Linked DNA regions of Diceros bicornis minor. The protein of the gene in region 4 purifies or fractionates together with the protein of the main gene of each other region. This does not show direct contact. Links are inferred from orthologs where the notes say so. Each region holds a gene or a part of one and is shown on either strand. Other genes may lie near its edges.

Region 1 (8,272 bases), on a different chromosome or scaffold from region 4:
GACACCCAAATCTTCCGACCACTAAACAGCTGCCTCTGAATACACCCTCTGCCCTTCTCCCTCCCACAGGGACGATTCTGCACCTGTCAAAGTCAGTCTTCTAATGTGCTCTGGATCCCGTCTTCACCCAGCCACTCAGGGACTTGGTACACCTTCTCTCTCCTACAGCATCAACCTCTCCCTCCCTACTAGGTTATTCCTCACACCACAGAAACACCCCATTAACCCTTCTTTGGCCCCACATTCCCCCTGGTCACCATTCCATTTCTCAGCTCCTTTTCACAGGAAAACTTTTCCAAAGAATTGTCTCTCCTTCCTCTTCCACCTACTCTAATCGGCTTCTGCCTCCATCACTTCTCTGAAAGTGCTCTTGACAAGTCACTAATGTCTTCTTAGGTCATTCTCTAAATTTGCCTCACTCTCAACAGCGTTGGACATGACTCTGTCTCCACTTTCGTAATTTCTCCTGCACCCCACCTCCACATGCTGGGGCGCTCAGGGCTCTGCTTGAGCCTTCTCCTTCTCCATCTATACTTGACATTGAATCCGTTCTCAAAGCATAAGATACCATCTACACGCTCTCCCACTTCTCAAAGTATATCCCCAGGGCCGGCCCCGTGGCTTAGCGGTTAAGTGCGCGCGCTCCACTGCTGGTGGCCCGGGTTCGGATCCCGGGCGCGCACCGACATACCGCTTGTCTGGCCATGCTGAGGCTGCGTCCCACATACAGCAACTAGAAGGATGTGCAGCTATGACATACAACTATCTACTGGGGCTTTGGGGAAAAAATAAATAAATAAAAGTATATCCCCAGCCCCAATTTCTCCTCTTAGATTTACATTTCACATTTAATGTACCTAAAAACTCTTGACTCCCAACCCAATACCTCTTCATATCCCTGTTTCCTCCTTCGAGTAAACTGTACCATAATCCACCTAGCTGCAAAAGCCGGGACATCACTCTTGATTGCTTCCTTCCCTGCACCCCCACATCCAATTGACCTCCAAGTCCTACATAACATACTTCAAATCCATCCACTTCTCTCCATCTCGCCCGACACCACCCTACCATCATTTCTCGCCTGGACTGTGATAAACGCATCCTAATGAGTCTCCCTGATTTCACTCTTGCCCACCCACAATCCATTCTCTAAACTTCAGCCATCATTTCACTCTCCTGTTTTAAAACTCTCCCATGGCTTCCCAAATAAACTCCAAATGCCCTACCCACAAGACCCAAAACGACATGGCTGCTAGCCACCTCTCCATCCTCACCACGCTTCCCCTTCACTGGCATTCTTTCTGTTCACTGAATACACAAAGCTCTTTCTCAGCTCTGGGTCTGTAATATCATTGCCTCTTCCTGGAATGCTCCTTCCACAGTTCTTCACTTGACTGATCTCATCATCCTTCAGGTCTCAGCTCAAATGTCTCCTTTTCAGAGAGCCTCTCCCTGACCATTTTATATAAAGTGGTATCCTCTAGTTAGTCTCTCTTCATTCTATTTCCTTCATAGCATTTATTATAATCTGTCATGAACTTGATTATCTATTGGTTTACATGTTTGTTGTCTAACTCACACACAAGAAAGCAAATCAGCTCTTCATCTGTCTCCTTCACCACTTTATCCCAGCACCAAACACAGTGATTGACACACTGGTATTCAATCAATAAATATCTGTAAGCCAATTAAACACTGCCATGAGAAATCCACTATTCTTTTATGGGAAACACATATTCCTGACTAAAGAAAGGACAAACATCTGTTTAAATGACTTCAGAATTCAGGGTTGAAAACACTACCTGTGAAAATTCATGGTGAAGAAATGTCCTGTTTGTGAACAGAAAACATGTGGACTGTACTTTCTCCATCTACAGGAAGGACTTAAATGTGCAGTGTCTGATGAAGGAGCAGAGTTAGCCCCTACCCTTACCATTTCTGCATATTCCAGCTGCTCCCCCTCATTGTACAGCTCTGGGGGCAGGTTATAAATCCGCAGGATGTTATCAGCACTATTGGTCAAGATGCAGGAACCATCAGGGGCCCTAGGAGTAGGGAAGAGTAAGAAAGCTGGACAGATCTATATTTTCCAAGTGTAGGGCTAGGGCTGAGCCTACCTCTGGGGTAGGTAAGGCCCCCAAAACCTTGGAGGAAGTAGAAGACACACAATCCTAGATGAAATTTAAGCTCAGTCCAAGAGGGATACTTACTCCTTCTCCCACCTCTGGTGGATACTTCTCCCAACTAACTGGAGTGTTCTAAGGTGAAAATCCTGGGCATGGTTATCTCTCTGCCCCATTATCCTTACTTACCACTTACACCCTTTCAAGAAGTTCTCAGATTGGGTGCTGAACTCTGACCAGGAACCACTGAGAAACCGAGGTAGCTGGGAGAAGCTGTAGTTCCAAGCGCTGGAAGGAAGATGGGGGGACAACAAACCTGGGTCGCCAAAGGAAAAAGGAAATGGGTCTGGAGAAGTGGGGCTGAGGACTGGCGGATAAGGTATATCTCATACGTCCACACATCTCACACTTCAATCTCCTCAGATTCCTGAGGCAACTGCCACCACCACTTACGTGTATCCCTCCTCCTCTGGAGCTGGGTCCTCAGACACACCTTCCACGGCTTCTCCAGGCCCCGACTCTGGCCTGTTAGTTTCTTCTGCAGGAAGGTTCACATTTTCAGAAAGTTCTTGCTCCTCGATTCGAGGGCTCAACTCACTAGGAGTACCAAACCCTATTTCCAGGGGAGTGAAGAGGGAAGCTCGGTCCCCCTCCCTCAGCTCCTGGGACACAGCTGAGCCAGCCGCGGGATCTGGGGACACCTGGGGGGGATCATCCCCATCGGGTGGCGGTAGCATCCGTTCAGGGTCCGTATTTTTATCCACCGCGGAAGGCTTAGGAGAGAGATGGGCTGGAGCTGGGGCCTGGTCTGAAAGAAGGCAGTCCGGACCTAAGAGTGGCGCCTCCGGCGTCTTCATTCTGCAGAGGAAGCGCGGCAGACATTGGCCTCGGCCAGGCAACCCTCCTCCCGCTGGCTACCAGCTGCCTGGCCCGCGGAGCAGCCGAGACAGCTCCAAAGTTCGCACGGATCCTGGAGAAAAACCCACCTGTGCCTTCCTTCTTCTTCCGGGAGGGGGCAGAAGACCCCCGGAAGGCAAGGCGAAGAAGTGGACACCAACGTTAAAAGCACGGCATCCCTCAGCCCCGTCGGTCGCTACGCGCCACTTGCTCTCGCGGGATTTGGGCCCACCTCTCGATTGGACCTCCGCATCCCGGATCAGATTTCGCGGGCGACCCACGGGAGGGGCGGGGCAGGGACGCAACAGGTCCCGGTTTACCGTTCCCATCAAGCCCCGGGGCTCTTAGAGGCTGCTGGGAGTTGTAGTCTGAAAGCTTCTGCCTCCGAGAGAAGCGTCTGAGCTCCCCCTGTCTTCTTCCCGCGGTCATGCTAAAAACACCTACTTCTTACTCCCCAACCTGCAGAGGGCGCCGGCGTTGTATTTGATTTTACAGGTTTCTGAACCTCTTTGGCATCTCATTCGCCAAATTCCTCAGACCTCTGTCTTTTCATTCATTCAATAAATATTTATTATTGAGCTCTTACTTGCTACCCAGTATGAACTGAGTACTGGGAAATACAACAATGAATAAAATAGTAGACAAAGTCCCTGCCCTCCTAAGGCTTATGTTGCTGTGTATTGAAGGCAAGGAACAAATCTTTTCAGAAAGTGATAAAAGCTGTGAAGGAAATTAAACAAGATAGCGTGATATATAGTATCTGGAGGAATACGTTAGATTGGGATATTAAGGAAGGCCTTCCAAAAAGGTAAGATATTAGCTGATGAGAAGAAACTATCCAGCTATCTGGGAAAGGAGTGTTCCAGGCAGAAGGAACAGCAAGTGCAGAGGCTTTCTTCCTTCCACCTTCATATCTGACACAGTGGCAGGAGTCTTCCAAAACGGTTTCCACCAATTCTGCCCTCACGGCTCTGGCTTGCCGAACTTCCCCACCCCAAAATGTCAATAGCTACAGCACCAACACCGCGAGAATCCTAACTTTCTCCGTGCCCTCCTCTCCGACTCTGCATTCCTATAGCCTCCGCCCGAAGGCGAATTGCTTGCCCTTACTTGTCATGGCGACTGTCCAGCTTTGTGCCAGAAGCCTCGCGGGGCTTGCTGGGATTGGGATTTTCCCCTCCCATGTGCTCCGACTGGCGCTAAAAGTTTTGAGCTTCTCAAAAGTCCAGAGCCACCATCCTGGGTGCAGGTAGCCGCCAGGCTCCGGAGTCACCTGGCGTCCGGCCTCGGGGCGTGCTTTCCAGGACGGTGACACGCTCCCGTGAGGTTCGGGTAAGCTCGTGACTGAGCCTGATGAGTCCTCTCTGAGTCACGGGCTCTCGGCTCCGTGTATTTTCAGCTCGGGAGAATCGTGGGGGTTGGGGGTGGGGCACTGGGGACTTAGCGATTTTGGGGGGATGGAAGTTTGGCGGCACCAACATAGGAATGCAATGTTGGGAGGCCTGGGTGTAGATGATGGGGATATTAGGAATTCAATTGTCAGTTGAAATCAAAGCTGAACACCTGGGCGGGGAGTGGGACTTTGGGGGAAACTTGAGCCGGCCTACGGGATTCTTCCCCACCCCCCCTCCATCCCAGTGCCGGGTGTGGGGAATCCTGAAATAAGACGCACAGAGCATGAGGGTCTCAGACTTTCGGATCTCGGAACTTTGGGAATTCATGGTTCGAGATTTTAGAGCCCATGGCATGCTGGTGGAACCTCGGGCTTCATTCCGAAATGATTATTCGGGGTGATCTGGGAAGCCCAAGCTGCTAAGGTCCCGTAACTTCCGGACCTTTGTCCTTCCTGGAATGGTCTCTGCAACCGGTCCTCGGCTCCGCTAGATGGAGAAAATCCAGTTAAAGCCTGTCAGTCGTGCAAGTGGGAAGTGCTAAACGAGAGATTTGCCCGCGAAACCAGGGAGGACTATCCCGGTCTCAGAGGCCCGAGAGCCCTGTTATTGTTTGGCTCTACATTTACATTTCTGCCCTTTGCAGGAGCATTTCCGGTTTCTTTTTTGGGGGCAGCTTACTATTCACCCGATGAGAGGGGAGCAGAGAGACAGAAAATGTCTTTTAGACTGATTCCTATTACTTGCGGAGGGAGGCTGCTAACTCCCTCCTCTACCTCTTTTTTCTTTCTTCCTGGAGTACTTAGTTACCGCTTTGGGAAAGGAAGATATATTTGTTTTGATGCAAACCTCAGTCCCTCCCCCGTTTGAATGGTGTGCTCCACCCTGGTCGACTGCAACCTCGGCGGACGCTACCATTGCGTGGGATGGGTTTTTTTTTTTTTAAAGGGTGCAGAGGGAAACCCCTGGGTATTTTTTTTTTAAAGGGCACATTTGAGAATTAAATGATGAAGGAGTGTAACGACAGGTCGTTTGTGGCGGAGAAACACTTTCTCTTGTTTCCGGCTTTGGGCTAAGCCATTCCACTTTCGGACGCAGACTGAACGTCGTGACAGCGGAAGGGGCGGGTCTTGGCGAGGGGCGGGCCCCGCAGACCTGAGTATCGCTCTCCGGTCCCGGCTAGTTCTTTCCTATGGCAGGGTGCGGAACCTCCGCGAAATCCAACGCGAATCCCTTTCTCCTGCATCTTCATCGCTTGGGTCGCGGTCGTTTCATTCAGCAGCCACTTAGCACGCACCTGCTACGCACCAGACACTGTGCGCGGTACTTCTGTGCTTATCTTTTGTCTAAATTGAGGTAGCATTTATACCCACTGCAGTTAGACGAGTTTTGGCAGCTAACCACCGTGTAACGCCTATCAAAATATAGAACATTTTCATCACCCCAGAAAAGTTTCTCATGCTTCTGTCCGGTCTGTCTTTGACCCCCACCTCTATTTTGATTTCTTTTGCCTGTTGGAGAACTTGTAAATGAAATCGTACAGTATGTGCTCCTTTGTGTCAGGCTTTTTCCTTGAGCATAATGTCTGTGAAATTCATCCATGTTATTGCATGTTATTAGTGGTGTATCAGTATTTTGCTTTTTTTTAAATTTAGTATATTCCATTAGATGAATAAACCATCGCTTGTTTATCCATTCTCCTTTTGATGGCCATTTGAGTTGTTGCCCGTTATTTTGAATAAAGCTGCTATTAACATTTTGTACAATTCTTTTTGTGGTCATATGTTTTCATGTTTCTCAGATAAATACTTGGGAGTGGAATTGCTAGGTCAAAGAGCAGAGAGTAGATCTATATATTTTTTTAACTTTATAAAAAAATTCAAGGGGCCTGCCGGGTGGCGTAGTGGTTATGTTGGCGCACTCTGCTTTGGCCGCCCTGGGTTCCCAGGTTCGGAACCAGGGTGCAGACATATGCAGGGCTCATCAAGCCATGTTGTGGTGGCGTCGCACATACAAAATAGAGGAAGATGGGCACAGATGTTAGCACATGGCCAATCTTCCTCACCAAAAAAAAATCAAGTTTTTTAAGGTGGTTGTACCATTTTACACTCCCACTAGCAAGCTGTAACCTTCCTCACCTTTGGTTTGTCGGTCTTTCTAATGTTACATGCCTTTGTGGTTTAAATTTGCTGTTCTCTGTTAATTATGTTCAACAGTTTTCATTGTGCTTATTGGCCATTCCTATGTCATGTTTGAAGTGGCTCTTCAAGTCTTTTCCCCATATTTTAAATTGGTTTATTTGCTTTTTTTTTTATTGTTGAGTTGTAGGAGTATATAGTCTGGATACACATATCTTTTGTCAGATACACGTCTTTTCTCCTGACCTGTTGCTTGCCTTTTTGCTTAACAGTATCTTAAGAGGAGCAGAAAATTCTTTTTTCTTTCAAGTGTTTGCTGTAACCTGTTTAGGAAATCTAACCCCAAGTTCATGAAGATACTCTCGTATATTTTCTTAGAATCTTTATAGTTTTAGGTTTTATACTTAGGTCTATGAGCCATAATTAATTAATTAATTAAAAAAATTTTTTTTCATGATATGAGCCAGAGGTCTAGGTTTTGTGTTGTTGCTGTTGTTTCTTATATGGATTCCATCCAGTCGTTCTAGCTCCACTTGTTGAAATAGCCTTCCTTTCCCCCACTGAATTTAATTGGAGTGCTTGGTCCATTTACATTTAATGCAATTATTATAAGGTTTGAGTTTAAATCTGCTATTTTAGTGCTATTTTCTATCTGTCTCCTTTGTTCTTTGCTCTTCTCTTCAAACATTTGAGGAAGAAATAATATCACTGTTACACAAACTCTTTCAGAATATAGAGGCAGTAACATTGCCCCCTCATTTTACGAGGCCAGCATAATCCTGATACCAAAACCAGACAAGGACATTACAAGGAAAGAAAATTGAGCTCAATATTCATGTTAGCATATATATGCAAAAATCTGGCAAATTTTAGCACATCAAACCTGGTATATATAAAAATGAGAAATAAATCCTGACCAAATGGAGTTTATCCCTGGATTGCAATGTTGATTTAACATTCAAAACTCAGTGTAATTTGCCACATTAACAGATTAAAGGATAAAAATCCTATGATCAATTCAAGACAATATTGACAATATGCAACACCTATTCATGATTTAAAAAAAAAAACCACCTGCTAGCAAACTAGGAAAAGGAAACCTCCTCAGTTTGATAAAGGGCAACCCTAATCAAGTTACCATTAACAACTTACATAATAGTGGCAGACTGAATTCCTCTAAGATCAGGAACTAGAAAAGTATTCTACTCTTACCACTTCAGCATTGTACTGGAGGTCTTAGCCAGCAAGAAAAAGAAATAAACATAATGATTGGAAAGGAAGAAATAAAACTGTTTTATTCACAGATGGTATGATTGTGTATGCAAAAAATTCAAATCAAAAATCCATTTTAAAACTATCAGAACTAATAAGTGATTATAGCCAAAGTCACAGGTTTCAAAGGCAATATCCATAAATTGTATTTTTATTTTTATTTTTTGTGAGGAAGACTAGCCCTGAGCTAACATCCGATGCCAGTCCTCCTCTTTTTGCTGAGGAAGACTGGCCCTGAGCTAACATCCTTGCCCATCTTCCTCTACTTTATATGGGACACCGCCACAGCATGGCTTAAGAAGCGGTGCGTCAGTGCGCGCTCAGGATGCGAACCTGCAAACCGGCTTGCCACAGCGGAGTGCGCACACTTAACCGCTGCGCGACCAAGCCGGCCCCATAAACTGTATTTTTATATAATAGCAACCATTGAATCTGAAGTGGGAAAATGAAT
Region 2 (7,459 bases), on a different chromosome or scaffold from region 4:
AGGCACGTCACCCGCCAGACACGCCCGACAGAGTCCCAGAGAGCGGAGGCCCAGCCGGACCGGGACACGGGGAAGCTTCAAGTTCATCGTAAACCAGGCGAGGGGCCTCCGCCGGGGTCCTGGGGGCTCGAGCCCTGGCTGGGCCCATGTCCCTCTCTGGGTCTGGTCTGCGGTCTCTACCTGCAGCCAGGTGACATGCCCGGGCGCCACACTGCGGAAGGCTTGTGATGTTGTGATATGAGAAACATGTACTTGGTCTCTGTCCCCAGTTCCTGGCACAGAGCTCCTGAAACCCCTGGGGTTCCTGAGTGATGGGCTAAGGGGAGCGTCTTTTGCTATTTGTAATAAGCCCCCCTTTCCCCCACACCTGAGTTCATCAGAGGGCTGGAGCTCTCAGCCCCAGCCTTCCACCTCCAGGAGGGGAGAGGGGCTGGGGATTGAGGTAACCACCAATGGCCAATGATTTAATCAATCGTGCCAACGCAGTGAAGCCTCCATTTCAAAAATCCTACAATACTAGGTTTGGAGAGCTTCCGGGTGGGTGAACACGGGAGGTGCCGGGAGGGTGGTGCCCAGGGAGGGCACGGAAGCTCCGAGCCCCTTCCTCACACCCTGCTCTGAGCATCTCCTCCATCCGGCAGTTCCTAAGTTATAGCCCTTACAATAAATGGGTGATAGTAAACAAGAACTTTCCTGAGTTCTGTAAGCTGTTCTAGCAAATTATCAAACCCGAAGAGCGGGTCGTGGGAACCAGGATTTATAGCCAGTTGGTCAGAAGGACACGAGGCCCGGACTTGGGACCGGCGTCCGAAGCGGGGCCGTCCTGTGCGGCCGAGCCCCGGACCTGTGGGGTCTGCGCCAACTCCGGGTCGTGTGTCAGAATCGAGCTGAACTGTGGGACACCCCGCTGGGGTCGGAGTTGGAGAATTGGTTGGTGTGGGGAAAAGCCACACGTTTGGCATCAGAAGGATAGAGAGTAAAGGGGAAATGGGTGGTTTTACTTGTAGGTTTCATCCGGGACAGGGTCCAGGTGGGGGGTGTCCCACAGAGCTGAGCAGAGGGGAGGCTGCGCGGGTGGGGAGGCATATCCAGCTGTGCACAGTCAGCCTGAATTACAGGGGTGCTGGGTGCATCTGGGTGGCGTCTGTGTTCCCACCAGGAGGGAGGAACCAGGCCCCACCCCACGCCCTCCACCCCATAAGGAGGTCTATTTCACGCACCCAGGGGACCACGCCACGCTCCAGGCCAACAGCCCCCTCCGGCCCACACCAGAACCAGTGGAGCCCATACATACCCGGAAAGCATGCCCGGGGCGGGCACCCCCAGGTACCCCCACTCCCAGCCCACTCCTCTCCTCTTCCCACCCACCAGGAAGCCCGGACACTAGGCTCTACTCATTGATTCTGATATTCTGAATCTCGGGGCCCCTCTCATCCCATTAAAAGCCCTCAGAGGTCAGTCTCAGGACCTCAGGATTAATCTGGGACAACCAGACTCAAGTTCAGAAGCTTCGGGTCTATCTCAGAACCTCTGGGTCTATCTCAGAACCTTGACACCACACGCACAAGCTTAGGAGGGTCTCAGAGCCTCAGAGCCTTAGGGTCAATCTCAGAACCTTCAAAACAGTCCCAGGACCTCGGGGTCCATCTCAGACCCTCAGGATCCAAAGGTCAGACTCTCCGGGCTGAAAGGGGCCCCCCAGACTGTCCAGCCGGCCCCCTCCCGGGACAGAGGGCATCCCCACAGCCTCCCGGACCCGGCTGCCGGCCTCTGCTACGAGCCCTCCTTGGTGGGCCCCTGCCCACCGCTCGCCTCGCGGCTGGACAGAGTCTCCAGAAGCTCAGACGCTTTTTCCTTTCACGAGGCTGGAATCTGGCCCCCTGGTCCCAGAGATTTCAGGATAAGACCCCTGTGCCCTGGATTTGCTTTGCCGCAGACCGCCCGAGCGCTGGGGCCGTGTCACAGCCTCCAGACCCCCACGCTCCCTCCTGAACACCCTCACCCCCCACCCACCTACCTGTTTGTGCATCTCAACGTTGAGTCCGTAGGACATCTCGTAGTACTGCAAGAGAAAGCCAGCCGGGTGTCCACGGGCCGACGCGTCCAGTCCTGCGCTGGGGGACGCTGGCTCTTCCAACAGCCCCCCGGCTGGACCCGCAGCTTCCCAGCCCCGTGGGACCCCGGAGAGAAAGCCCAGAGGAGGATGCAGGGCCCCCCTCCACTCTCTCCAGGGAGGTGGGGCAGGTCACTGGTGTCCAGTGGCCCTGGCCCCGCCGAGATGCCCGTGGAGCGGGGACATCCTTGCCTCCCTGTTCTAAAGAGCCCGGAGGGCCCTGGGAGACAGCCTGGAATCCCAACCAGCCCACTTCACAGACAGGAAAAGCGAGGCCCAGAGAGGGGCAGGGACTTACCCTGCAGAGGCACAGTGAGGCCGGCGTCACACCCCAGTGTTTCACTCACAGCCCAGCCCTCCCCACTCCCCCCACCCGGCACCATCACCCCCCCTCACCATGACATAATGTCGCTGCATTTCCGTCTTCTCACTGGCTAACTTCTCACATTCCAGCTTGAGGCTGGGAAGGAGACAGGATGCTGGGACCCCATTGCCCCTGCCCCCCAGCTGGAGTCCCACGGACGCCCCTTCTGGGCCCGTTTCCAAACTGATCGGTTTGGCTCTCCCCCTCCCCACTTTTTCACACACGCACCCCCACCTCCTGGTCGCAGTCCCTCCCACCCCTTCGCAGGCTCTAAGTGTCCCAGTGCCAAGTGACCCCCTCCAAGCTCACCTGCGCCTCCACCTGGAAGCCCTCCCTCCCCTCGTCCCCGGGGGGCCCCCTCCTCCTGCACCCTGGAGGCCCCGCCCCCCTCCCCTGCGGGCCCCGCCCTCTCCCGGGGGGCTCCCAGGCGGACTCCGGGGTCCCCTGGGGCGGGCCCCCCCTCACCTGTGGTACTGAGCCTGAAGAAACTGGAATTCCTCCTTGATGCGGTCGCAGATCTCCAGGATCGAGAACTTGAAGGGCTGGCCGGACTGAAGCGGGGTCTGGGGGGGTCGCCGGGGTCTGAGCTCTGGGACGCCCCGGACCCCCGCCCCCGCCCCGCAGCCTGGACCCCCACTCACCGGGTGCCTTCCCTGGGGGTACATCCTGGCGATCCGGGAAGCCCCCCGCGCCGCCGAGCTGGATGGACAATGTGGGGGTGGGCGGCGAGGCTGGAGGCGGGGGGCTGCCCGGAGGAGGAGGAGGAGGAGGAGGAGGGGGCGCGGGGCAGGGGACCCCGGAGTGCCCGGCGCCCCCGAGAGCGCGCGCGGGCGGCGGGGACGGAGGGTGGCCGGGGCCCCTCCCGGGCGGGGCGCGCGGGGGGCGCGCGGGGGGCGCGCGACGGGCGCGGAGGGTCGGGACCGGCCGGCTGGGGAGGCGCGGGCGGCGGGCCCCGCGCGGAGCCGCCTCCCTCCGGCGGGGCTCGGCCGGGAGCCGCGGGCAGAGCCGCCTTAAGGTGGCGCCGCCGCCCGGCCCGCCCACCGGCCCGCGCGCCCCCCGCGCCCTCCCCTCGGCCGGGGAACCGGCGGGGAAACTGAGGCTGGCGTCCAGCCCCGCCCGCCCCGCCCCCGCCCTCCCCAAGAAAAACAAGAAACAGATAAACAAATACCTAGGCAGCCCGGTGGGGAGGGGGCGCTTTGGGGGCCTTGCTGGGCAAGTGCGCTAAGACTGCGGGGGGAGGAGGAAGCGGGCTGGCCAGGCGCCTGCCAGGGGTAGGAAGAGCGTGTGCAAAGGCCCCGGGAGGACCCAGCTGGGAGGCAGAGCCAGGCCCGGGCCCCCCCAGGATTCTCGTCTGTCAAGTGGCAGAGGCAGGCGCTCTTTCTAAAAGGCATGAGACTGGAACAGCCCTCGGCTTGGCCTGGCACTGGGTCAGCCCCAGAGATGGGAGCTGGTGTTCCGGTGGCCGCCACCTGCAGACGGGGCTGCCTCCCCTCTCAGACTATGGGGTCCCAGCGAGGACGGGAAGGGAATCTCTGCCATCAGACAGAGGCTCCTCCCACTACAGACATCCAGCGAGCATCCCTCACACTCACCCCGGAGGTACCACGTCCTTGTTCCCATCTTGCATACAAGAAACCTCAGAGTCGATCATTAAGTCAATCAACAAACACCCCTTGAGTGCCTACCATGGCCCAGCCACTGCTCTAGGCACTGGGGCTCAGCGGGGAACAACAAGACAGGGAAAAGCCCTTGCCCCATGCTAATGTTTGCACCCGGGTCAGTGGGTGAGTGAACAAAAGTGCACACAAGCCCTTCTCAAGCTTAGAGCATCGTTTCCAGCCAAGGGCTACTTCTCGAGCATGGACTGCCTTCCAGGCACCAGGAATGCAAGGGTGGATGAAGGAGGACAGACTCCTGCCTTCTCTGGGTTCGAGGGACAAGGCAAGATCACAGCTTGGCAGTGATGGAATTATCTGTGTGTCTAAAGGAAGATTTAGGGAGCAGTGGTGGAGATCAGCAGGAGGGAACCTCCTTATCTGGGGCATCCGGGAGAGGCCTCTCTCAGGAGGTTAATGTAGGAGATGAGACCTGAAAGATAAAGATGCGCAGCCCGGAAGGGAGGGGAAGAGAGATCCTGGGGATAGTGTGTGTGTGTGTGTGTGTGTGTGTGTGTGTGTGAGTGTGTCGGAAGGAGCATTCAATAGCTCCCTATTGCCATCAAAATAAAATCCAAACTCCTCCCTCTTCCCACAAGGCCCTGCACAAACCCCCTCCTGGCCCTCCCATCTCTGATCCCAACTCTGTTCCCTTTCACCCTCACTCCCTCTGTTCCAGCCACATTGGCCTCCTCGCTGTTCCTCCAACAGAACAGACAGGGGCCTGCCTCAGGGCCTTTGCACTGACTGTTCCCTCCACCTGGAATGCTGTTCCCTTGTTTCCCACCATTCAGGTCTCAGCTCAAATGTCACCTTCTCAGAAAGTCCCCTCCCAGCCACCCATTAAGCAGCATCCACCCACCCCACGCTATTATTCTAAATAAATACTGTTATTCTCAACTGCTTTTCTCTCTCTTTTTAGCTCCTATCAGAGGTTTTATTTTGGTTTGTGATTTGTTTTGATATGTTTATGTTTCTTTGTGGGTTATTCTATGCATTGTCCCCCCTAGTACTAGGCTGTGTGGACAGAGCCTGTCTTGGTCCGTGCAGAGCTTGGCACACAGTAGGTGCTCGATAAATGCACAGGCAGTCAGTGAGGAGCAGAAACAGCCGATCCAGCCAAAGCCAGAGATCCCTGGCCACACTCCTGCTGGGAAATTCTAAGAAACAGGGAGGACCACAATTCCACAATGCCGAGGGCTCGTGATTCCGGGTTCTGGGGGCGTCCGTGAAGTCCTAATTCCAGAACTTTTCCAGGAGGTGTCTTGCGTCCCCTGCGAAGACAGCATCTCCCCTCCCTGGGCCGCTAGTCCAAATCGTGGCGCCCCCTTCCTCACCTCTACTCCTTCCCACCCCGATCTCCTCTTGGGCCTTCTCTTGCCAAAAGCCCTCCACCTCCTCAAAGTCAAGGGCCCCGCCTGGACCCTCATCCCGCAGCCCCACCCAGAGCAGCCTCCCCACCCCGCCTTCTGCATGCTCTCCTAGCCGGTGGCCCTGATTCCTGTCTTTTCCTCTTTCCCTTTAGCCTGCTCGCCTCGGGCAGCCCGCACTTCTGGCTGCTTGGGCTCCAAGCCACCACATCCTTTTCCAGGCCTCACTCACCACCTTCATGAGGGTGACTGCAAACTCTGGCTCCAGCCCTGTGGATGCAGCCACCTCTAGCATCTCCCCCAGATGCCCCCCAGGCCACTAGACGTGGCATCTTCCCCCAGACCTGTCAGGCCCCACAGTCCACCCTGGTCCCCAGAGACAGAGCACCAGCCGGGCCTCCTCGCTCCCCCTCAGCTGCCATGCAACCCTCCTCCCCATCCCCACAGCCCCCGCCCGCACCAGCCCTTAATCACCTCCCATCTGGACTTCAAGCCACCTCCCCACTCTGAGCAGCCTTCACTTTTATCACCTTCCCTTTGAGCCTGGCCCTCCCTCACTTAAAACTCTCCCATGGCTCCCGATTGCCCTTGGGACAAATTCCCAGATCTTCAGGCTAGCATCAGAGGCCCTGCACCAGCCGGCCCCGCCCAGTTTTGCCTCCCTGCACCGGTTCAAACGCTCTGCTCCAGCCACACCAGCCAGATTACCTAATCTGTGTTCTCTCCCACCTCTGGGTCTCTGCTTCCGTTGTTATCTCTTCCTGGAATTCCCTCCCACTGCATTTCTGCCTGGAGGAAGTCCACGCCTTCAGGGCCCAGCAAAAAGGCATGTCTTCCCCGCATCTCCTCCAAAGTCCCAACGTCTCCTCCAAAAGGCATCTCCCCCTGCCCCATGCCTCCCTCAGCCCAATGTTGGTGGTTAAGTGAGCATTTATTCTATAGCCACCTCCTTCTGCTGGAAGATGCTGGGCCCTCAGCCAGCCTCAGGCCTTGCAGGGAGAGCTAGGGGTGGGGGGCGGGGGACAGAGCAGAGCACACACTCCCAGGCCCACACAGTCAGTGCCGGGACAGAGGGAGCGCCCAGGGCGCGAGGTCCCCACAGTGGGAACGGGGCCTCTGCAGAGGGAGTCCAGAGGAGGCTTCCTGGAGGAGGGGGCCTTTCCTTTCCCCACCAGTCTTTCGATCTCCCAGCCAGGCACACTCCACAGGGGAGGGTAAATACAGATTTGTGGATTGCCTGAGAGGCCACAGACCACACACACACACACACACACACACAGCGAGAGATGGTGTGTGTGACCTGCCAGGAAGGAAGAGATGTTTTGTTCTGAGCAGCAGCATCCCCAGTTTTGGGGGCAGAATTTGGGGAGGCTCCGCTGAGAGCAATCTGAGAGATGGGGGGACCCCCAGGCGGCCTGTGGCTCCATAACTCGCTAAAATGGCACATCCGGCCAGAGCAGGAGGCAGGGAAAGGACTGGCCAGGCCAGGCGAGAGTGACAGTCTGGGCCGCCTGGCACAACCTTCTCATTTCTCCAGCCAACTCCTTTGCCATCGGGGGGCTTCAGGCCCCACCTCCCTGGGGCTCAGTTTCCCCATCTGCAAGATCCAGGAAGACGCTGCCAAATGGGGGAAGGGGCTTAGCTTCCAATCTCTCCCCTCCCACTGCACAGAAGGGCTCAGCCCCGGTGGTTCCTGGCTGGCTTTTTATGATGTGGATGTGGTTGTTTTGTTTTTTTTTTTAAAGGAAAAAGCCGAGAGGCAGCGCTGGGACCCCGGGTTGCTCAGACCACCTTAAATCAGCCTCACCGCCCCAGCTACTGTGGAAATTCCTTTCTCCGCGGTGGTTGGCTGCGCGCGCCAGCCAATCCGCCCGCGGCGCTCCCACATGGGTCCGTGACGTCACAATGGGAGCTGGCCAATGGGGCTCGGGGAACCGGCAACCAATGGCAGGAGGCT
Region 3 (7,437 bases), on a different chromosome or scaffold from region 4:
CAGGCCCAGGGCCGCTGTGGCCTGAGAGCAGCCATGGCTTCTGCAGTCCACCTTTATGGTCTGAGGGACCATAAAGGGCAGCCTGGGCAGGTGGTGGCGAAGCCCAGATTGTGACTGCAGACCCCACAGCCAGGGCAAGGGCAGCAGGACACGGCTCCTGCCAGTTCCCATCCTTGAAGTCAGAGTGGCTTGGGGGGCTCCCCACACTGCATGGCTCCCTCTTTCTTGCTTCCCTCAGACCCCAAGCTCTGGTGACTTGGACAAATGTGGGCCGAAGCACAGGAATTCCTCCTCCATGTTACCTCACCTGATCACGGCAGCGGACAAAACTACAACACTCTTCTCGGAACAGGAGCAGCCTGCGGGGCTCCTACCACCCCTGGCCTCTCCTCTGCGTCCCCTGGAGGTACAGGGACTTGTCTGTGGTCCCCGCTTCCCCTCCTTCCCTGAACATCTCAGCTCTATTCCCAAGCAGCTGGAGTTCCAGAGACATGGCTCAGATCCTGGATTTGCAGGGAGTTAGAGCCACTGAACCCCAAGATAAAAGACACCATGAGGGGACTGAAGGTGGATGAGGTGAAAGTTAAGGATTTGGGGAAGGCAGATAGCCTCCAAAATGGGCCTCTGACAACCATTCTCCTAGAGTAGCTATAAAGTGCTAACCCAGATGACCCAAGACAGTGGGGGTGGAGAGGCTCAGCACTCTTCCCAGCCTCCTTCAGGGCGCTGTTTAGACAGTGGGCCTGGTGGAGGGTGGGTGAGCTTCGGGCATGGAGGTAGCTTACAGAACAGAGAGGTCAATGAGGAAAAGAGAAAAAGTTTCCGATCTTTTGTATGAGAGCCTTGCTCTGGGCTGGGTGTGATCACCTCCTGGCTCAGAACTATCCACCACCTCACAGCCCAGCACCCATGATTGGTCAGACCTCCTGCCTAGAGCCTGTGACCCAGCTGGAGATGAAAGTGTCCTCTGTAGCGAACACATCAGGGCACAGAGCTCCAGCCCTCGGCCGCTCTGCCCCTGACGGTTCTGTAAGGACCTTTGGGACCCTAGCAGGCAGTGGAGTGCCTCACAGCTAATAAAGTCTGCACATTTCATGTTGAGTTGGGTGTGTAACTTACCTGAGGGTCATCAGGTTCTTGACTGTGCAATGACCCCAACATCTGTTGTCTTGTCCAAGCCCCTCTCAAGGGAGCTGTGTGCTGGGGACCTGAAGGTGGCTCCATCAGGCCCAGGAGCCCCTGGATCATGGGGCTCTTAGCCAGGCTGGGGTGAAGGGAAGCAGAGAGGTGCTGGCTTGGTGGCCATCAGGAATCATGACAACAGCAAACACTTCCATAACACTAACTGAGTGCTGGGTACCATGCTGACTGCACTGCAGATATTAGTTCACCTAATCTGCACAACAACCCTGTGGGGTTGATATTATTATCCCCATTTTAGAGATGTGGGATCAGAAGCAGAGAAAGACTAAGAAAGTTACCTAACCATATGAGGGGGACTTCTGCGGTGCTGTACTGTTCTGTTCCCTGATCTAGGTGCTGGTTACATGAGTATGTTTCAGGTTGTGAAAATACGTGCACTTCTATGTGTAAACTACACTTCAATTTAAAAAAAAAAACAGGGGCTGGCTTGGTGACGAAGCGGTTAAGTTCATGCTCTCCGTTTCGGTGGCCCCGGGGTTTGCTGGTTTGGATCCTGGGTGCAGACCTACACACCACTCATCAAGCCATGCTGTGGTGGTGTCCCTACATACAAAAAAATAGAGGAAGATTGGCATAGATGTTAGCTCAGGGACAATCTTCCTCAAGCAAAAAGAGGCAGATTGGCAACAGATGTTAGCTCAGGGCCAATCTTCCTCACCAAAAAAAAAAAAAAAGAATCTTGCCCAAAATTATAGGAAAAAGAGGATGTAATTTCAACCCAGATGGTCCAGCTTGAGAACATGTACAGTTAACTACTCCATTGAAATGGGCTATCGTCCAAAAAGTACCTGGTCACTGGTCTTCAGTCCTTTTTGTTCCAGTACTCCCTAAAAAATTTTGAAAATGTATTTCTCCCTTCATACATTTTTAAGTTGACGTCTGAAGTATTTCATTGATAAGTTTAAAGAGTTGCAAAGGATGTAATTTCCAGTGTGTTGTAAATATTGACACTTTATAAATGATACCATTTATATTGATCCATTTCGATCCAAATAGCATAGTGATTTGAGAGCCAACATCATTCATTTTAAAAACATCAGAACAAGCTCTTCTTTAACATTATTCCTTTTTTTCTTCTCATAATTCCATTCTATTCCTCCCACAGTTTATGCTACATGTAATTTATTTCCATGCTTTAAAGTCTATTATTGATAAACTTATCATATCTCTTTGCAACACAAATATATATATATGTTGAAATTTTAAAATCAATTTTTTGTAAACTTTCTAAGGCTTTACGGGTTACACTTAGTACAGAGTTGTTCAAAACAACATAAATATGTATTCAAATTCTTATAAAAACAAATTTTATTGGAAATGCATTTCTTAAAAAAGGGTATTTTCCTCTCAATTAGTTCATGTGTGTGGATGAATATCATTTTTTTATTAGAATAATAATATTCAAGGTTCAACATTTTTTTGTTGTTGTTAGGAAAATCAGCCCTGAGCTAACATCCATGCTAATCCTCCTCTTTTTGCTGAGGAAGACCGGCTCTGAGCTAACATCCATTGCCAATCCTCCTCCTTTTTTTCCCCCAAAGCCCCAGTAGATGGTTGTATGTCATAGCTGCACATCCTTCTAGTTGCTATATGTGGGATGCGGCCTCAGCATGGCCGGAGAAGCGGTGCGGTGCTGCGCGCCGGAACCCGGCTGCCGGTAGCGGTTAACCACTAAGCCACCGGGCACGCCCCTCAACATTTTTGTACCTATTTATTTTTTTCTTTTTTAAAAACTTACGCACAGAGAAAACTTGTTCACATAAGTAAGTAGATGGGAATCTAAGGGATTTGTTATATATGGCAGTGTCACTCAATTTGAATTCTTTCTGAGTTGTCTGTTAACAATCACATTTATCATTGAAAACTATATTTAATGATATCATCTAACAATTCAATACAATCCTTTAATTTTACTGAAAGCAAAGAATTGGAAACCATTTAAATTATGGAGACATTACCTAGATGGGACCCTCCTCCATTTCAAACTCACTGGCACAGGTATACTTAGGGCTTGATTCAAGCATTTGCCTTAGGACCCTCAGCGGTGAAGGAACGGGAGGGCAACCACAAAAACTTAGAGCCAAGCTGCTCGGGTCGCTGCCTACTGAATTCCAACCCTGCAACTCTGCGTGTTTCTACAATGGCCAGGAAAGCACGGGACGGTGGCCAGGAAAGCACAGGACGGCCCGACTGAAGCTGGCCTGGCCCTGAGTACACCGGCGGGCCTGCCCTTGGGGCACTGGGAGAACAACTCTCCGGCTTAAACAGGGCGTTGGCACGAGTGGGGAATTAAGGTGGTTCGCGTGTAGCGCGGGCCAGGCTGCCAGGCCGCGGGGCTCAGTGACGCGAAATGCAGCAGGCCCTCAGGAAAGGCAGAATTTTAATTTTTACTCGACAGAGTGGCATAGCCACTCGGAATAGCACCTGCACAGGGGGAGTGAGAGCACGTTACACAAGAGCTCTCGCTCTCGGAGACTTGGCCTAGAACTTGAAGGCCTGCCGCTCCGCACGCTAGCCTCCTATGCCTCCCACGCCCTCACCCCATTCACGCGCACTGCGCTGTTATCTCTCTGACTGACATCTTTGTCAGCCAATGACCTTCGGGACTGCGAAAGCGCCGGGGCCCCCCCCTCCCTTGGAATTGGGCAGGGCAAGTAATTGAAATGACAGACATTTACGCCAATAGTGAAGAGGTTTCAGAAGTTACGGTGCAATAGCCAATGAGAAGAAGGAACTGTTCGAACGGACGTGTCAGGCAGCCAACGGCCGGCGCCGCTGCGTGGGCCGCGTGGCTTCCGTTCCGAGAGGGCGGGGCGGCGTCTCAAACGGAAGGTGGTGGTTGTCCGAGCCGAAGCGGGTTTTAAACTGAGGGTCGGGCCCGGCCGTCGTTGTTTGTTGTCGCTGCCCCGCTTCCGGGCTAGGCCGTCTCTGCCCGCCCCCGCCCCGCCTCCCTTCGGACCCTCTCCGTCTCCGGCCCGGCTCTCTGCCCGACCCGTGCCCCGCCCGCCGCAGCCCGCTGTAGTCCCGGCCCGCCCTGCGGCCCCGCCGCCGCCACCATGTCCCTGCACGGCAAACGGAAGGAGATCTACAAGTATGAAGCGCCCTGGACCGTCTACGCCATGAATTGGAGCGTGCGGCCCGACAAGCGCTTTCGCCTGGCGCTGGGCAGCTTCGTGGAGGAGTACAACAACAAGGTGGGCCGGGCAGGGGCTCGGAACCCGGCTGGCGGGGAGCGGGCCCCGGGAGCGCCCTCTCCGGGCTGGACCCCAAACCCCAGGACCCTTCTGCGAACTTGCCTTAGCTTCACGGAGCGGTTCCTCTGAGTTTGGCCCTGTGCAGAGGGTTTCGCAGTCGTTGTCTCGTTTAATCCTGGCAGCGTTCCTGTGTAGTCAGGAGTGTGGTTACCCCCATTTTACTGATGGGGAAACTGAGGCACAGTGTTGTGACTTGCCCGACTCAGACAGCTGTTTCGTGGTGGAAACAGGTCTCAAACCCGAGTTTCCACCCAAATCTGTGCCCTTTATCATTCCTGTCCTCCTCCTCTCCTGCCGCATTGCTTCAGTTGTGGGGCGAAGGAGGTAAGAGAGAGGGATGGATATGAAGGAAAAGGCTGGCTCCTCAGTTGGTAGTCATTCACTCCTGGCTACACCAGATTTCTCTTAGGACTCTTCACTGCGCGGGCTTCCCCGCCCCCTACTCCCACTCTCTGGTACTATTCATGCCCCTAGCCCTTCTGCCAGGATTGCCATTGCTGTTGCTGCCTGATATCCGTCGTTTTCAAAGCGATCTCTTTCTGAAAATCTTGGCCCATGGCCGTGATCCCGCCGTTGTTTTCTGAGTAGAGAAGGATGACACTTGCCGTGTCTTTTCTTGCCTTCTTGCATGCTAATACAGCTGTGTAACCCGAGTAGTTAAGTTTCTGGACATCCAGAATTTGAGAACCCTTCCTAGAAGCACGGGTAGTAGGAGGTAGCTTTGAAGCTGGCAGTGCAGCATAAATTTATTTTTGAAAGTTGTTGAATAAGTCAATGGGGAGAATTTTCTTTACCCCTTTATCTCTTCCTTTTATTGTATTAGAGTAAACATTGTGATTGATAGTGATCAGAGCAACTGAAAGCCTTGGCTAATGGTGTTTAAAGCCTGTGCTCCTGCTTAACACCATGAACAGCATGATTTAAGAGAATAAAACTGTATGGACAGTGACAGGCATGGTGCAGGGGGAAAAAGCCAAATGGTCTAGGGTTGAGTCCTGTCTGGTCCATTGACTAGCTATGGGGCATTGCACAGGTCAGTCTTGTTTCTGACTCACAGTTTATTGTAGGAAAGGGGTTCTTTTTTATACATGAAGGTCATGTAAAAACTATTTGAACATAGTAAGTTTGGTTACAGTTTTTCAGGAGCACAGCTGTTTCTCTAGAGTTAGGTCTTAAATTTCTTTGGAATTCCCTTTGAGAAACTGATGAAAGTGATGGGCTCTCATTGCCCAGACATTACACGTACACAATTTACAAACAAATCCCAGGGAGTATGCACTGATCTTGTAGTCTACCCATTGTCCACAGAAAGCAGAGAGTCCTGAGTAAGACATAGCTTTATTTTTTTTTCTCTGATGCTTCTTTCTTCCTTATGGCCCATAGTAGACAGCAGAGCTGGGAATGGAATTCAAGGTCCTAGTGTGGAAACTGTGTTAGTCAAGTTGAGACCGCTAGAACTATTGTTTAAGGATACATGTTAAAAAAAAAAAAAAAAAAAGCAAAATATGTCTTTCAAGGGGCTTGAGTTTTTTTCACCCAAATTGATGTGTGTTTTTTTTTTTTTTTTCCTTGCAAGTTCTTCCAGCATCTATTTGGGTAAGCAGTAGTAGTCCCATTTCTAAGAAAGGAGAAACAGAGCCACAGTTAGGCTGCTGGTGGAATCAGTGGAGTAATTGACATCAAACCTCAGTTACAGTAACTCTGCCCCAAAGTTTGTCCTTTCATTTAGCAACTGTATAGAGCTCTTTCTTTGTGCCAGGCACAAAGGCAGTGTGGTCTTAGTAGTGAAATGCAAACTAATAATCCTAGTAGTAAGGGAACAAGCAGTTAACTATGTTAACTCACTCCAGTGATGTAGGCAATGCAGTGTCTTAAAACTGTTTTTGTGCCCCCACCTATCTAGGTCAGGGTTCTTAACTTTTGTGTGTGTGTGTGTGCACCATGGACAGCTTTGGCAATCTGAAGCCAATAGATCTCTTTTCATAATTATGTTTCCAAATGCATAAAATACATAGGATTACAAAGGAAACCAATTATTTTGAACTACAGTTATCAAAAACATTTTTTAAAAAGTGGTGATATATTGGGGCCGGCCCTGTGGTATATTGGGGCCGGCCCTGTGGCTTAGCGGTTAAGTGCGCGCGCTCCGTTGCTGGCCGCCCGGGTTCGGATCCCGGGAGTGCACCGACGCACCGCTTCTCCGGCCATGCTGAGGCCGAGTCCCACATACAGCAACTAGAAGGATGTGCAGCTGTGACATACAACTATCTACTGGGGCTTTGGGGGGAAAATAAATAAATAAAAGTTAAAAAAAAAAAAAGTGGTGATATAGTAATATGTACTTTTAAATTAACTCATTAGATTACACCATCCAGTGTAATTATTACTGTAATTTTGAAGTAGTAATGAGGGTAAATGCCATTTTAAGATGTTTAATTACTGTACTGTGATATGAAAAAAAAATCAGTGATTTCTACTGGTGACGGAGTCACAGATATTGATGCTGCTGTGAGTAGCTGCCTCTGTTTGTAATGGAAGGAAATGCTAAATTTCAGTTAGAGATTAGTGAAAATATGAATGATTCTCCAATTCAGGTTCACGGACCTCAAGTTAAGAAACCTGGCTGCAGAGGATCTGTGCCTAAGGGATGGTGGGCAGTAAATCCCACTTTAATGCAGTGATTCTCAGGTTCAGTTTTGGAGAAACCTTGCTTTGGAGGCGCCAGACTTCATAATTTAGAGGAATTGACGAATTACCGGTTGGAATTTTCAGACCATTGGTTCCTGCTTGCCGTCGATAGTGATGGCCAGCAGAGGACAGTGGACACACGGCAAATTAACATTGATGAAAAAGCCCAAGAATGGTCATCTTTTTTTTTACTGTAGAGACATTGACTGAAAGAAAACATGATTATGATTTTTAAAATCTCGTATTAATGTTATCATGTTTTCCTAAAATTGTTTGTGGTGCAGTAGAATTG
Region 4 (7,575 bases):
CAATGAAAGCTACTGAATTTGCCCAGCATGCCATGAGAAGAAGATACAAGCAAGAGACTGGAGACAAGAGAGAGCATAGGAGACAGATAGATAAATGGACAGATACCTACAGGCACGGAATAACCAGTTTCAGTCCCTAGAGCCCTGGTTTTTGCAGCTCTTCTTCTTATTCTGTGACTACCTCAGTATCCCTTCCAAATGCATAAGCCTCTGAATTTCCTTTTTCATTCAAGAAAGTCTGAGTTGGGGTTCTGTCATATTAACATAAATCATATTTTGGACATATTGAATCTGATGTGAGACTAGGCAGACCAAAGAGAAGTGCCCAGAAAAATAGTCAGGGAGGGCCGGCCCCGTGGCTTAGCGGTTAAGTGCACGCGCTCCGCTGCTGGCGGCCCAGGGTCGGATCCCGGGCGCGCACCGACGCACTGCTTCTCCCGCCATGCTGAGGCCGCGTCCCACATACAGCAACTAGAAGGATGTGCAGCTATGACATACAACTATCTACTGGGGCTTTGGGGGAAAAAATAAATAAATAAAATTATAAAAAAAAAAAAAAGAAAAATAGTCAGGGAGATGGCACTGAGCTAAGGAGAAAGGTCAAACCGCCAGGCCAGCCACAAGGAGGTGATGAAGTATCTGCAAAAATAAATTAGCCCTCCAAAGTGAAAAACTGAGAGTGAAAATTAGATCCTTGGGGAACTCCTCAGGAGTTTGGAAGATGAAAAGGAAGTGGCAAAGCAGACAGAGGAGCAATGGATGGAAAGGTAGAATAGCTGGGACCATGAGGGAATTAAAGAGCTTGAGACAGTTGGGAGTCTATAACTTACTGTCAGAGATCAAAAAAGGATAGGAAAATGGAATTCATTCATTCATTCATTCATTCATTCATATAGATAAGAGTTAAGTGCCTGCAATGTGTCAGCCACTGAGGATACCACAGTGAGCTAAACAGATGTGGTCACTATTCTCATGAACTGACAGCATTGCAGTGTAAACAGTAATTAAGCGATCAAGCATGCACATTATTACACCCCTTAACTGCTATAAGAGCACCTAACCTAGTCTATGGAGCTGAGGAGTGTGTTCTGAGGAAGTGACACAGTCTCAGCTGGGATTTGAAGGATGAAGATAAAGAGAGGGCCTCTTCACGAAAAACAAGCCTGGGGGCAGAGGCGTGACAAGGAGGTTGTATGAAGGAAGATGTCTCATTCTTGTCCTTTACTCAGACTGCAACAGAGTAATGGCCTGCCAAGAGGAAGAAGTGTTCACACATAGGTGCCAGGCTGAGGTGCTTTCTGTCTGGAAAGTCATTGAGCCTGTGAAAACTGACAGCTGTTCTATTCCCTGTCAGTTACTCTTGGTGAAGGAAATCTGTTTTTTCGCTCTGGGCTTGTGGATTTTCCAAACCCTACTGAATGTCTTCCATCCTCTCCTCCCTCCTGCTCCAGGGTCAGCAGTCATTTGATGGCTCATGCAGAGTGGTAAAGAAATAGAAACTGAAACTCAGGTCTCAAGATTCTTCTTGGGCCGGCCCCATGGCTTAGCGGTTAAGTGCACGTGCTCCGCTACTGGCGGCCTGGGTTCGGATCCCGGGCGCACACCAACGCACCGCTTCTCCGGCCATGCTGAGGCCGCATCCCACATACAGCAACTACAAGGATGTGCAGCTATGACATACAACTATCTACTGGGGCTTTGGGGAAAAAAAGGAGGAGGATTGGCAATAGATGTTAGCTCAGAGCCGGTCTTCCTCAGCAAAAAAAGAGGAGGATTAGCATGGATGTTAGCTCAGGGCTGATCTTCCTCACAAAAAATAAAAACAAAAAAATAGATTCTTCTCACCGTTTGAAAAATTTGATAATTTCCATACAAATGCACTTCTAAATAATTTGAGCCCTTCCTAGGTATATAATGACACATTTTCTACCAGGTTGTAAGATTTGAAGAATACTTTACAGATAATTCATACTAAGGAACCACATTATTGACTAGACAACGTATCAGAGAAGATGAGGCTGAGGAGCAGCAAAAGGAGGCAGAACAGAGAAAATAATAATAAAAAGTGCTTTACATACATTATCTTATATATGTCTCACAAATGACTCTTTGAAGTAGGTAGCTTTATCCACATTTTTTTGAAAAACGTTTTTTGTGTGTGTGTGTGAGGAAGATCAGCCCTGAGCTAACATCCATGCCAATCCTCCTCTTTTTTTGCTGAGGAAGACTGGCCCTGGGCTAATATCTGTGCCCATCTTCCTCTACTTTATATGGGATGCCACCACAGCATGGCCTGACAAGCAGTGCATCGGTGCACGCCTGGATGCGAAGCTGGGCCATCAGCAGTGGAGCACGTGCACTTAACCACAATGCCACAGGGCCGGCCCCATGAAAAAACTTAAGATAGGAAATTTGCTCAAGATTCCACAATTAGTATGTGGCAGTACTGGAATGAAATCCAGGCCTGTAGACTCCAGGGTCATGCTCTTTATCACTGCACAATATACTCTGTGAAAAGAGCTAGTTCATTTATGTGCAAGCTATGACATAATAGGCCTCTCAGATAAAGTAATCTACTCCACTACGCTTAAGTGGATAGGCTCTGGAGTCGGATGGCCTCAGGCATTTCCCTGGCCACCAGTGGGACTGTCCCACTCAAACTGAGTTCACTCTAGCCAACACTATGTCTTCTGGGATCCCTGGACATAGTCTTGTTCTAAGTATTAAGAGGAGCTACAAAGGAAGAATAATATATTCATTCAACATATAATTACTGGGCATCTGTTATTTAACAGATCCAGTTCTAGGCACTGGGAATACATCAATGTTCCCATTTAGTGGGAAATGCAGAAAAAAGTACAAATACTTTTCAATTAACTAAACAAAACGAAAACACAGTGGCCAGCCCTGTGGTGTAGTGGTTAAGTTCAGCACACTCCACTTTGGCCGCCTGGGTTCACGGGTTCGGATCCTGGCTGCAGACCTACACCACCGGTCAGCCATGCTGTGGCAGTGACCCACATATAAAGTGGAGGAAGAGTGGCACGGATGTTAGCTCAGGGCTAATCTTCCTCTGCAAAAAAAAAAAAAAAGTTTAAATAAAAGGAAAAAACATACACACAACTAGAATAATTTTCCCAAATGCTGGGCCATTAAAGCGGTCTGATTTTACGGGAGAGAAAGCAGGGCCTCTGACACACACCTTTTCTGTTCGAAGGATGAGTAGTATGCTGCTCCATCTGAACACCAACAGTGTGGTGCCTAAGAAAGAATCATAGCATCACATGATCAACAACCCATGCTATTATTTTACTATTGACAATTTCATAAGTTCCCTCCAGCAGATCTCAGGCTGTTCCAATTTCAGGAGGAAAAAGTGTGAAAGGGTGTACTCTTCTATTTCATGGCCAAATATAAGTAACTCTTCTTGCATTGTTTGTGCTCTCACGGTGCCTTCACTAGTTTGTAACACAGTTCTCTTATTGCTTCCTTTTTTTGTGGAAAAAATAGTAATTTAACCAAACCCAAACCTTACGAGCCTCCTACGAACAGCAATTACTCTGTGTTCTCTTCACGCTTGATTTCTGCACTATCAACCCTTTTTCCTGTCCTGTAAGATAACTTAAAAACTCTGGCTCCCCATCATCTCTAATGGACCAGCAGTTGAGTGGACAAGCAGGGCGGGAGAGCAGATAGGCGTGCAGAAAGAAAATCTCAAAGCACTACAGGGAGCGCTTGAGAAAACGTTTTAGATAGGATAACTCTGGGAAAAAGTAAGCCATTACCCTCCAGTACCGCTCACAGCCTCAGTAGGAAGCATCTGACTAAAAAGGGAAAGGTCCATTCACAGCAACGAGTCCAGAGGCAATACACCACAACTCACAGCGTGCCCAGAAGACGTACTGTTACCGCCCAGCTCAGCCCGATAGGACTACAACTCCCATTTCAACCCACATCACACCAGCCAGGTCTTCCCTCAACTACCGGTGAAGTCCCGCCCCTCTACTCCTCCCCGTTCCTCAGGCTGGAACGAAAGAGTGGAAACTGTCACACCCTCGTTGATCTTCGCGGCCCGAGAACAGCTGAGGCGCAAGGCAGCTTAATGACCTCACCTGCGATGTTAACTGAAGGCCTCAACCCCAGCACCCACCATGTAGTTGACACACATGCGCAGTAGCGTGCCGGCCAACTGCCAGAGCCTTGGCGCTTGCGCCGAGGTTCGCGCCGCACGCGGCCGGGAGCGGCCACCCTACTGCGCAAGCGCTTGTGCCCTCCCACCTCCATCATCGCGCTCTCTCTATCTAGCTTGCCCTACCGTTCTTGCGTGGGAGGCGGGGCTAAGAATGTCAATTGGCCTGTTTTCGTGCCGGTCAATGAGGTGGCTACGGTGATTGGCCGCGACTCTGAAGATAGCGGGTTTAGGTGTAAGCCCCGAGGAGCCAGCGTTTTCTGGGCTTGCCTCTGGGTCTGTCTCCAGAACGTTCTGCCGGTTGCCCCCGCGCTGGGTGCCCGGTTCTGCATCGCGCCGCCATGATGGGCCATCGTCCCGTGCTCGTGCTCAGTGAGTTGTGGGGAAACCGGGGAAGGGACCCCCTTTTCGCCCCCATCTGTCCACACTTTACGGTGTTGCCCCAGCCCCATCCCGCCCTGGTCCGGCCATTGAGCCTTCCAGTCATCATTCATTTTGGAATCCCCGTCTCCCGCCTTCCTCTCTTCCCTTGGCCCATTCCCTTGTCTTCACAAACGCAAACTGACCTCCCCTCTCCGAGCCTTTTGTCTTTGCGGGCACTGGCCTCGGGAAGCCACTTCCCACTCGGCGCTCGGTTCTTCCTCCCCTCCCCCGCCCCTGCACTCTTCCTGGCTTGATTTTCAGTGTGTAGCTGAATGAATGATGATTTTTCAGTCCGGCCTAGCTTTATAACCTTGGCCCGTCCTCTGGTAGCGGTGAGGCCTCGGCCAAATTGCTTGATTTAAGCGTTTCTGTCTTGATAATTGGGGCTAACAGTATTTCCTCGTAGAATTGTTAGGATTAAATGAGATAAGTAGGTAAACTGCTTAAAAGAGGATCTGGCAAACAGCAAGTGATAGCCTTGGTCACTTTTCGGTAACATTCCTCCTGAATTTCTGTTCACCAACCCCTGTTCCTGAAGAAACCCTACTTCCCTCACTGGTCTGTCTTAGATGTGGTTATTCCCTCAGTGTCCCCCGCGTTGTAATCTCTCTCACTAGCCGAGTTTTCCCAAATTTTTCCATTGGTTTTCTTTACCTGTCGGGAACGTCCCAGGTTTCTTTCTGACTAGTGAGTACCACCTCCATTTGTCTTCCCGGATATGTTTCCATTCTGTGTGCAACTTCTGTATCCCATTTGCAAGACTACCTAAGACGCCCGACTCGCCATTTCCCTCCCTTACCATCTTCTGTATACAGAATTCTCTTCGTAGATTTTATTCATTTCCTCTATACCTGGAAGATAACTGTTTTCAGAAAAAATTTCACTTGACCGAAAAAAACACAGTATTTCTGATGAATCCATCAGAAAGGTCAATGCAGGATTTTAGTTACGACTGCCTAAAATAGGAATCTAAAACCTGAGAGTTGTGTTGAGATTTGATAGAACTGGATTGAAAAAATTTACAGATTTAAATTGTAGGGAATGTATAATTTGGAGAGAGGCGGGAAATAAGCATTATGTTGGTTTGGTTATAACCCACTGGCTTGTCTACATTGAGGGCCCTGGAGTGAGTGGTGTGTTGTGAAGCCCTTTTCAGGTCTACATTAATCTCTGGCATTACTGGCTATTAACTGATGAGGCTCCCTATTAAAATACATAGTCAGCTCTTACTGATGGGTTACTGAAGCATTCTTACCATATCCAAGCATGACGTGACTATCTTGCATACTTTTGAGAATGTGTTCTCATTCCCCAGCACATTGTGGGGGCACTATCAATAAGTATACTGAAACTGTCAGAGTATGATTCTCCCTATCCAAGTAGGAAAATGTGAACCCCCAAGCTCTTCCCTTTTTACATAAAGCAGTGATTCATGCTTTTTTAGGGTCACCAGCCCTTTAAGAATCTGATGATAGCTAGAGATTGTCTTCCCAGACAAAAACGCAGTCTCTCTCATTTTCTCATATAATCTCAGGGAGTTCACTATCCCACTGAGGCCCACTCAAGGATTTCAGGTTATGAATCCTTGTTGTAAATACATTAATGTTTGGTTAGAGAGAAAGTAACAAAATTCCAAAATTGAAGCTTTATGGGTTGTTTCTTAGTACACCGGGAATTGAAGTAAATAAAGAAGTAAGTAGCCGTAAGTACATATGTTTACTTTTTAACAGCTTTTTGAGGTATAATTGACATACAGTAAGTCACACATATTTAAAGTGTACAATTTGAGAAGCTGTGATCTGTGTATATACCTGTGTGTTTATTTTCAAAGGTCAGGGAATAAATAGCTGATATACAGTGGAGCAATCCTGGGCTGTTGCCTTTTGTTCTTATCTGTTTTAGGCCAGAACACAAAGCGTGAATCTGGAAGAAAAGTTCAGTCTGGAAACATCAATGCCGCCAAGGTAGCATATCTTTTAAGTTGTTTAAAGTATGATAGTTTGCCTCCAGCTGCCTTTCCTAGTATTTCTGTACTTGTTTGCAATTAGGGAGAGGAAAAGTTGACTTCCCTTCTTTCAGGACATTTTCCTAATGGTGCTAGAGAGAAGGAAGCTCTGCCTCTCTGAGAGATGCCTAACAGTCTTCTCATATTAACTTGTGTATAATTCTATTGCTGTATGTTGTTTTATAGTATTCTGTTTGTGTTTGTCTCCCATACTAGACTGAGTTACTTGAGGGGAAGGACTGTATTAAATTCCCTTTTGTATTCCTAGTCCCCACTGTAGATCCTGGATAGGTGTTCAGTAAATATCTTTTGAATGAAAGAATGAAATAGCCCTAGGTCTGATTTAGCATGGTGTGGAGGCCACTGTCATGGAAAGAAATACTAAGACATGGACTTCCAGTTACCTGGACTGCTGGGAAACTGAAGCTCTGGGAGGCACGCCTCCTTTTTTCTTGTGAGAAGTTTTTTCTTTCTACATCCACCCTGAAAGCATTCCCAAAGGGGAAAAACAACAGAATCTAGCCACGTGGCTTGCTATGTCTAAAGTGGTTGCCAACCCTGCTTTAGAGGTGTAGTTGTTAAAACACTGACTTTGTGGATTACTCGTGCCCCTTCACCTAACACACGCACTCCTTTGATCTGGGCTTACATGTTTTATATATTCTTTCCAATAGACTATTGCAGATATCATCCGAACATGTTTGGGACCCAAGTCCATGATGAAGGTAGGCTTATCTCTCACTGAAACTCTTTGACTACAGATTTTCCCTTTCTGTTATTTGGAACACTTAAATATAACTTTTGCTTTTGTCCTAGATGCTTTTGGACCCAATGGGAGGCATTGTGATGACCAATGATGGCAATGCCATTCTTCGAGAGGTATGACTTTTCATTTTGCTTTCTAATCCTTTTGTAAAGGACCCATAAAGATATATATAGACGATAATTAGTTTCTTTG

The links. The genes of interacting proteins can lie anywhere in the genome.
Region 1: the proteins of CCT3 (region 4) and WRAP53 purify together in Homo sapiens (co-immunoprecipitation; 3 studies listed by BioGRID and IntAct, with this or other methods). This does not show direct contact. The link is inferred for Diceros bicornis minor from reciprocal best matches to the Homo sapiens genes CCT3 and WRAP53.
Region 2: the proteins of CCT3 (region 4) and TLE2 purify together in Homo sapiens (affinity purification with mass spectrometry; 3 studies listed by BioGRID and IntAct, with this or other methods). This does not show direct contact. The link is inferred for Diceros bicornis minor from reciprocal best matches to the Homo sapiens genes CCT3 and TLE2.
Region 3: the proteins of CCT3 (region 4) and DCAF7 purify together in Homo sapiens (affinity purification with mass spectrometry; 4 studies listed by BioGRID and IntAct, counting the BioPlex papers as one, with this or other methods). This does not show direct contact. The link is inferred for Diceros bicornis minor from reciprocal best matches to the Homo sapiens genes CCT3 and DCAF7.

Annotation. Positions count from the first base shown.
Region 1 is NC_080757.1:10,678,561-10,686,832, forward strand, and holds the start of WRAP53 (telomerase Cajal body protein 1), read right to left. Parts: upstream 3,365-8,272; 5' UTR 3,350-3,364; coding exon 3,110-3,349; exon of another isoform or gene 2,981-3,109; coding exon of another isoform or gene 2,897-2,980; coding exon 2,577-2,896; intron 2,412-2,576; coding exon 2,313-2,411; intron 2,046-2,312; coding exon 1,934-2,045; intron 1-1,933. UniProt on the Homo sapiens protein: RNA chaperone that plays a key role in telomere maintenance and RNA localization to Cajal bodies. Specifically recognizes and binds the Cajal body box (CAB box) present in both small Cajal body RNAs (scaRNAs) and telomerase RNA template component (TERC).
Region 2 is NW_026691553.1:2,365,731-2,373,189, forward strand, and holds the start of TLE2 (transducin-like enhancer protein 2), read right to left. Parts: upstream 3,365-7,459; 5' UTR 3,143-3,364; coding exon 3,119-3,142; intron 3,041-3,118; coding exon 2,943-3,040; intron 2,574-2,942; coding exon 2,510-2,573; intron 2,063-2,509; coding exon 2,018-2,062; intron 1-2,017.
Region 3 is NC_080757.1:46,427,112-46,434,548, forward strand, and holds the start of DCAF7 (DDB1- and CUL4-associated factor 7), read left to right. Parts: upstream 1-4,073; 5' UTR 4,074-4,259; coding exon 4,260-4,397; intron 4,398-7,437. Other genes in the region: KCNH6 (potassium voltage-gated channel subfamily H member 6), read left to right, coding at 239-523. UniProt on the Homo sapiens protein: Involved in craniofacial development. Acts upstream of the EDN1 pathway and is required for formation of the upper jaw equivalent, the palatoquadrate. The activity required for EDN1 pathway function differs between the first and second arches.
Region 4 is NC_080743.1:59,910,452-59,918,026, reverse strand, and holds the start of CCT3 (T-complex protein 1 subunit gamma), read left to right. Parts: upstream 1-4,450; 5' UTR 4,451-4,530; coding exon 4,531-4,561; intron 4,562-6,514; coding exon 6,515-6,576; intron 6,577-7,291; coding exon 7,292-7,342; intron 7,343-7,433; coding exon 7,434-7,496; intron 7,497-7,575. Other genes in the region: TSACC (TSSK6-activating co-chaperone protein), read right to left, coding at 3,203-3,261, 4,167-4,168. UniProt on the Homo sapiens protein: Component of the chaperonin-containing T-complex (TRiC), a molecular chaperone complex that assists the folding of actin, tubulin and other proteins upon ATP hydrolysis.